Linked DNA regions of Bombyx mori. The protein of the gene in region 2 interacts with the protein of the main gene of each other region in a pairwise test. Links are inferred from orthologs where the notes say so. Each region holds a gene or a part of one and is shown on either strand. Other genes may lie near its edges. The genes, in order: tax1-binding protein 3 homolog and armadillo segment polarity protein.

The links.
Region 1: the proteins of armadillo segment polarity protein (region 2) and tax1-binding protein 3 homolog interact in a two-hybrid assay, tested with the Caenorhabditis elegans proteins (2 studies listed by BioGRID). The link is inferred for Bombyx mori from reciprocal best matches to the Caenorhabditis elegans genes hmp-2 and txbp-3.

What each region holds. Positions count from the first base shown.
Region 1 is NC_085111.1:14,179,491-14,183,892, forward strand, and holds tax1-binding protein 3 homolog, read right to left. Parts: upstream 2,748-4,402; 5' UTR 2,317-2,747; coding exon 2,263-2,316; intron 2,187-2,262; coding exon 2,058-2,186; intron 1,783-2,057; coding exon 1,594-1,782; 3' UTR 842-1,593; downstream 1-841. Other genes in the region: NADH dehydrogenase [ubiquinone] 1 alpha subcomplex assembly factor 2, read left to right, coding at 2,989-3,082, 3,386-3,536, 4,350-4,402. UniProt on the Caenorhabditis elegans protein: May regulate a number of protein-protein interactions by competing for PDZ domain binding sites.
Region 2 is NC_085116.1:12,303,133-12,307,180, forward strand, and holds the start of armadillo segment polarity protein, read left to right. Parts: upstream 1-1,248; 5' UTR 1,249-1,389; intron 1,390-1,436; exon of another isoform or gene 1,437-1,633; intron 1,634-1,675; 5' UTR 1,676-1,706; coding exon 1,707-1,743; intron 1,744-1,815; exon of another isoform or gene 1,816-1,983; intron 1,984-2,418; coding exon 2,419-2,543; intron 2,544-3,399; coding exon 3,400-3,505; intron 3,506-3,634; coding exon 3,635-3,845; intron 3,846-3,976; coding exon 3,977-4,048. Other genes in the region: uncharacterized protein LOC101744306, read right to left, coding at 1-48. UniProt on the Caenorhabditis elegans protein: Required for cell migration during body enclosure and cell shape changes during body elongation. Plays a role in recruitment of the cadherin protein hmr-1 to adherens junctions.

The DNA.
Region 1 (4,402 bases), on a different chromosome or scaffold from region 2:
AGAAACATCAGTTTATCGTAAATATACGGAACAAATAGTACGTGAAAGAGCAGCGGTTTTAACTCAGGTAATGGAAATTAGGTCTATAAAGTTTGTACTGAATTTAACGAAAAGTAAATTAAATATTCATCTACACTGATTTATCACTGCGTAAAATTAATATTTTGTGTTCAAAATTCTTTGCTTGCTTTTCTGGTCTCTTTTGAAACCACTACTAATCAGAGGTCACTAAAAATGTTCTTACAGACTAAAGACAGCTTTGAAATCGAAAAGAAAATCAACTGCGGTCAAGCTGAGGAATTGATAATTCAAGCTGAAAATGAATTAAACCTAGCTAGGAAGATGTTAAATTGGAAGCCGTGGGAACCACTAATGGCTAAGCCTCCTAAAGGTCAATGGGAATGGCCTCCATCTAAAGCTTAATTGTTAATATTATTGTAGCATATGTAGTAAATTATATCATTTAAACTCAATAAAGAAAATTATTAAAAGCAGTGTTTTATAGAAGAATGTTCCTAAGTGTTTTAGAAATATTTAAAATTAGTCACTATTGTTTTAGTATGTAATAAACATGGACTAGAAATCATTCTTTGCATTTGGCAGCCTCTAATTCTTTTATTGAAAGATTGTCAAACTTAAGTTGCTGTTGCAACCTATTTATTTCAATTGATGAATTAGGTAAATAAATCTAGTAACAAACATGATTTGATACACGATGATGATGATTTGATATATAAACAATAAATGAACTGGGTTGGTAAGTCAAACAGGTGTTATTTCAATTAAAAAAAAAGTTTTCACTGTCTTCTATCAGATGTCATGCAGGGAAATATAAAATGAATTCAATACAAAAACATCCAAATGTTTTTAATAATTATATCATACTCTTATCACTTAACATAGAAATATCAATTCATAATAATAAAAAATCCCAATAATAACACTAAACATTTGTTTTATATTATGACGAAATATTTAAGAATAAATTCAATCGTAATTAAAAAGCAGAAAATATTTTGAGAAATAACACAAAATCTTCATAGTTTAAGTGCCATGCACATAATTATCATTCTTTACAGACTGCACTATAAGACTTGTAATATCAATAATAAGGTGTTATTATCAATATTACATATTTAAATATACCTGATGTAGCAACAATCCTCTTTAATAAAACTTAACTTGCATCTCTTAACTGAATTTGTCAGTTTAATGTAAATGCATTGTGTAAATTATTAACTACTGTTAATGGTAACTCCCCAGGCCTGTTTTATGCTGTACAAATATACCGTAAAATGTATTACTTAAATTCAATGAAAGGTTTTTGAGACAGACTGCAAACCCATATCTGCTTAAAACTTAACAGCTAAATTCTTAAATACAAAAATAAATAACAGTATAATAATCACTCATGGTCATAATAATATAATACTTTACTAACTTAGTAGGTACTTCCAATTAGCTGTATGTTTCACACTTAAATTTTTAATTTGCTTATCGTATGTCAAATAAATTTCCTTATAAAATAATAAACTCATAAACAGTGATTTAAAGTTTTTTACACAGATTTGTTTATAAGTAAGATGCCGTATATTATGTAGATGTAACTCCTTTTCTGGCCACAAGCAAGTTAAGAATAGGGTGTTTCTTAATATAACTAACTGCTTTTTTGTGAGTTACCATTGTAAAGTCATAACCATTGCACTGTAGTATTTTATCATGCATTCTTAAACCTGATTTTGCTGCTGGACTTCCTTCATGAACTTCAGTTACATAAATACCCTAAAAAAATTATATATTATTAACTTTTAAATCAAATCTTACAAGACAGAAAAATATTAGTGGCTTTACAGACTTTTAAAGTTTAAAATTTTAATTTAAAATGATACCACATAAATACTACATTATTATCCTATGTTGTTTAATAATTATTTATAATTTTTTTCAGCATCAGAATAACATAAATAAAATATCTTAGAATTGTGTTTTGTTTCATTTCATTTTGTTGTCTTAACAAAAGAGTCCATCTATATTTTGAATATGGGAACAACACTCACGTTATCTGTATATCCCTGGGGGCTCTTACGAAAGTCTTGATCAATGCCTCCTCCTATTTTAAAACCACATTTCATTACTTCTCTTCCATCTGGGTCAACACCAGCCTCTTTTTGTAAAGTTATCGGTATCTATTAAAACGAAAAGTATTAGTTAGTCAAGTAATGAAACTCTGATACGTAAAGTGGGAGTGGTCTGCTAACTTACACTTAGACACTCCATAGCTGTTCCAGCCTGGTGTTGAAATGCCATCTTCGCCATTATGAATAATATTTATGTGTTTACCTTCTAAATTAACAAAATTCTCAAAATGAGCAAATGCTTATGGGAAATAAATATTGGAAATTTTAAGAACGGTACATATACAATATACGAGTAAACTATTCAACTAGATCAACAGTAGGTAACACTGAGAATTAGCATGTGACATAACTGACAAGTGTCATAATTTTTTTTTAGAAACTAGATAGGTACTCAGCGGGATTTTTGATGTACATACTAACTTTATTTCATGCGTATACGACCTTTTAATTACAAAAATAAAAGTGAAAATTGCCTTCTAAAATGGCAGTTTTTGTCTGTACTGTACGTTATTATTAAAGTAAATGAAAGTTAATTTCTAGCAACGAAAGCTTATTTATTTTATCCCATCTATCCTACGGTGCTGTTTTATTTCACCTCTTTCCATTTTATGATATTAAAATCTGTAAGCAATTTCATTTCAATGCATTCAGATCTGTTTTACCTTTTAAAATAATCACAGTTTAAATACTCAATAAATAAAGATTAAGCGATGTGAGCTAGGTTGCCTTTGCTAATTCTATTTAAAGAGATTATTCTGCTTCTGTCTGTACAAAATTGCAATTTGTCAATTTGCATTCGAACTGTAATATTCGAATTCGAAGTCTACTATTACAATTTCTATAATTTCAGATGTCTAATGGAGAATATCGACAAGTATGGCGCATTGTTTTTAGAAATTTCATTAATTCACTTAGACCAAAACAGGTTACTGGAAACAATGTTGGTAAGTGCTAATAAGTTATGAGTTTAGAATTTTCTTTTTTTTCCTACCTAAGCTGATAGCCTTGAGAGGCTATTTCAGCGTAACCTTAACTAGTAGATGAGCTCACGGGGCTCAAACCGGAGTGATGCTAACACTGACGCTAGCAAGAGCAGTGCTTCGCAGAATCTACCACAGGTTAGGTAGGTTACATTTATTTAGAAAAATGATTATCTGCTGCCCATGTTTAGTTCATTTCTGTGTGAACGGAATGAAATTAAAGGACATTAAAGGAATAGCAGTGAATGGATAAACATTTTGTTACAGGTAAAGATTACATAGGTAACACTTATTTTGAAATACCTGCTAGTCCAAGTGAAGGTAAAAGAAAGCCATCACGTTGGTATGATCCACCTAAAGGTCAGGATTTCCAAAATCCAATACCAGCCGAATGGGAGTCCTGGTTGAGAATGAGAAGGTACTTTATGAAGTTCATATTTATGCCCTTAATTAAATTTGCATAAAATGATTTTAACTGGTATGAATAGGTAGCTGAACTAACACATAGACTGTGATTACATAGATCATGTACACAGCATAGAATATATAGATCCAACTGCTTACATTCAAACATGAGGACTTTGATTTCTATCAAAGATACAATTGCATAATGATGGAATACAGATTAATTTAGTTTTTAAATCCTGAATTTGCTACTAAGTTTTAAAGTAAAAATACATAACGAGCTGCCTTGGTTTTGCACTGGAGCATCACCATATTGTGTTAGGTGCTTTGCAGTTATTATAAATGTATTATTTATGTTACTTTTTTTGCAAAAAAAGTATGTTAATTTATAGTATTTGGGATAATATTTTATACTTCTTTTAAAAGTGATTAATCCTCTAATCCTTTTAGGGGATAAATTTGAAATATATAAAAATATGTGTACATTTATTATTAACTCAAGACAACTATAGAAGCAAGTATATGAAATTTTATGCCTTTTAGTATGAAAATGATTGAGTTCCATTCAACCGTTGATCCTTTATGTCTTGATTACTGACTTTTCATTTGTTGATCCCTTTTCTATGTTAGGGATGATTTTCCAAAATTATAACATAAAAAATTTGGTAAGTAGTCAAAATATCATGTTTGTAGAACGCCAGCTGTTTAGGCTGTGAGTTAATGATTTACTCAGTAAGGAACAGTATATAAAGATATAAGTTATAAGGTAAATAAAGATGTATTTAAAAAATTAGTATTTTATGACGTATTTTTTTGGACAATTTAGAAAAGAACCACCATCAGAAGAGGAAATAGCAAAAAATGTTGCTATAGCCCAAA
Region 2 (4,048 bases):
ACAACGGTCGGTGTTATTGAAATACCATAAAAAATATGCACAAATCATCCATTTGAGTCTACGATTTGACAGGTGCTTCTTTTAAACGAACTTTGAAAAAAGTCCCGATAAGCAGAAGATCTTGGCAATTTCAATCCATAATAATACTATTCAATGCGAAAGTGGGATTGGTGGTTTGTTGCGCTTTCATGTTTTAACTACCCAGCTGGTCAAGACGAAATTTTTCGTACAAATTGTAAGATTACAAAATAACAAAAAGAAAATTAGCTCGGAGAAATCACACATGTTCAGTTGGCCCCAAACTAGATAAATAAATACATAGCTATACCTTTAAAAGTACGTTTATAACATTTAAAATGGCTCAATACTTTCATTCATTTATACGGATATCAACATCCAAACAAATAGTAAACAAATCTGTTCATCACACTAATGTTTACCTGATCTGGGAATCGAACCCACGATATTTTTTTGCTTTTGATGCCAACAAAAAATCTGAAAGTAATATCGCCATCGCATTCACGGCCACGGAACTTGTATGACATTATTTCGTGCATTGATCTTGAAGCAGGATTCTGCCTACTATGTTGCTTCGAAATAATTTTGTACCTAGAAATATTTTCACATAAGTTGATAAAGATACCTGATAAAATCAACCGCCTTTAATCTAAAAACTTAAATATTAGCTAGTAACCAATATAGACCTAGGGATCTAGACAAAGTGTGCTCTTAAATATTAAGTACATATATTATCTGTGAATGTACTAGCGTTAATGTGAATATTAGATATGTAAATACAGAAGTACCGTATTTATTATATTTAATTTTAAGGAATTGACATAATAAATAATAATTACCTATGCTAACGAAACGTCACGTGGTCTAACTCATGTCAATCCCTTAAAATCATACCCGTCCGGGCATAGCTGGAATAAGACCTCAGGTACCTTCAGACAGGGAGTAGACTCAGTGGTCAAGGCTCAGGTACATCAGGTTTTTTAAAACTAGGTCATTTAATATAATAATATGACGTAACAATTATGTAAAATTATTATCTGCTGTATAAAAAAGTTACAAATCAATTAGGCATCATTAAAAAAATACAAATCTGCGTGCCACGAATCGTATTGTTTACAATTTATCCCTGAACTTTATGTTGGCACCCCGAGCCTTTGAAGAAAAAATGAGATAAAAGCATATGCAATACCTTAGAGCGAACGAAGTAGCAATACTAGTGTCAGCTGCATTTGAAAGTAAACGAAATTCGACGAGTCTCCGCCATGTTGTTGTATGAATCGAGTGACGGTGGGTCGGATATTGTGCATTTAATTTGTAAAAATTATTTAAAAGTCGTGAAAACAGTTAATCTGTTTGGCTTGCACGGCCAAGGTAAGTTTTATTCGCATTAATTTTAATTAAATAATGATATTAGTCACCTTAATATCTCGACCAGTACAAGTTATTTTATGGGGTCGGGTGTGGTGTTCGGTATTTAGTTCATGGTGCACTTATTTGTTTTGTTTTCCGCTGTTCCAAAAGTATTTCCTAGTGGGAAGCATTAAATAAATGCAAATGTTTATGTGATTAAGTTCTAATGTGAACCATGCTTTAATTCTTATGAATCGATCGATAACGTACAAAGCGGAGACATGTTTTATGGTATTTTTTACAACAGGGGACGGGTGCATCGTCGCATCGTCTAAATCATGAGTTATCAAATTCCATCATCGCAAAGTCGCACAAGTAAGTAATTTATATTGATTCTTTTGTAAATGTAAATTTATCATATCATTGCCATTCAAAAAGCTTGAGTACTTACTGAACGCTGTTCAAACCACTTACTTCGATACAATTGAATGAATCGGTTTGTGTCTATCGTGACTCATGCATATGGCATTACTTGAACGATAAATTTATAAATGAACTTTAACTTTTCTGTATCTCAGTACATTCTCTGCTAAGTAGCAAAAGAAAAAGAAATCCTAAAACACGAAAACATTGGAATTGAAACTGAGGGAAAAAATTACATTTTGAATCATACATTCTCAGTTCATTTATTTGAAAACAATTTTTAAACAAATTGCAAATAAATTAGATTAAAAGGAAATTTGAAATATAATTTGTTATGATTTGAGAACTCTCAAAAAGGTTCTTCAATTAATGAAAATACAGGTATAACAAGATTAGGATTCAACATAATTGAAACTTCAATCTCTTGTCAAAAGACGTGGAGTTCACATTAATGGCATAAAGTAACCACTTTATTTTAGTTTAAGTTTAGCTCCTGCAACTACTTACTAATTCTCTTTATGTTCGCTTGAAATTAAACCCATACTACCCCTTACATTCCTACAGAAATATATATATATCTCTCTGTTTTGTGTGAATAAAAAACGAGAAAACATCATTATTTTACAGTGTCGCACAGCAGCTATGTTGCTTCTGATGTGCCAATGGCACCAAACAAAGAGCAGCAGACATTGATGTGGCAGCAAAACTCCTATTTAGTGGACTCTGGAATCAACTCTGGAGCTGCTACCCAGGTAATGTTATCAGACTGTCTATTATAAAATACAGCAGTAATATTGTCCTATTTCATTATAAAAATTGGATTAAAATAAAATACGGCTTGTCTTCTTAATTTAACATAATTTTGGGATGGACACAACTGAAAATCTATCTTTATCAATACAACAACATAAGTCATTCAATATACAAAATAATGATGAAGTTTGATTAAATTTTTTATTATGATGACACTTCATAATATGAGATACCTGAACTACGTGTGCTCTAAACCTTGCTGATTTTATCATGGAACTTTTAACTGTTAAACGTAGAATGATCTAAAGAAAAAGAAAAAACATTTTCTGTCTCATTTAGTCGTGACTGAACCATACAAACTAGCAGTTTGAAAATTACTTCTGCATATTAAATAGATTTTGAATTGAACTGAGCAGTACTTTCATTAGTGAAATCTGTTATGGTATTTCATTGATTTTATCTGGCCTGTGTTCTTTAAGTAAGGACAGTAAATATGAGCAAAACACCATCCATTATAGTGTGAAGATATTCTTGCATTTTAGTTTTTAGAGTACACGTCAAGCCTTGTGTACTTCTTAATAGTTGTTTAAGCACTGATGAAACTAAAATCTTAGTATACAGCTCGAAAAGTAATATAAAATATCATAAAAATGCACAAAAGATCAGCTATAGTGATAATTGCTAACTTTTATTTGATATTTAAAAAATATTTTTTATTCCCAAAAGTACAAAAGATTTTTTATGAGAATACATAACCATACCTTTGTAACTTGACTGAGAGTGATAATCAGATGACTCCTACCTTTTTGAATAGTCACATCAATTTATTTTAGTTAAATGTATGATTCTCTTCAGGTTCCATCACTAACTGGCAAGGAAGATGATGAGATGGAAGGTGACCAACTTATGTTTGACCTTGATCAGGGTTTTGCTCAGGGATTCACTCAAGAACAAGTTGATGGTGAGTTGTTTCCCCATTTCATTTAGAAACGTTTGAATGTACAATATAGAAATAATTTTACACAAAAATTCTTATGACAATACAAGCTGTTTGGATTGTTGTATTCAATATCATATGCTTTACTTTCAGATATGAATCAACAGCTTTCTCAAACTAGATCTCAAAGAGTCCGTGCGGCTATGTTTCCTGAAACGCTGGAGGAAGGAATTGAAATTCCATCGACACAGCTGGATCCCGCTCAACCAACTGCTGTCCAGCGTTTAGCTGAACCTTCCCAGATGTTAAAGCATGCTGTGGTGAACCTCATCAATTATCAAGATGATGCTGATTTAGCTACCAGGTATAATTATGTAATATAATAGCCTAACACCAGATATTCTATCAGATCATCAGGCAACAAGCATGAAAAAAAAAACATTACACTATTATTATTCATTTGTTCTATTCCTATTGATTTTAAATTTGTTTCAGAGCTATTCCAGAGTTGATAAAGCTACTGAATGATGAAGATCAAGTAGTAGTATCCCAAGCTGCCATGATGGT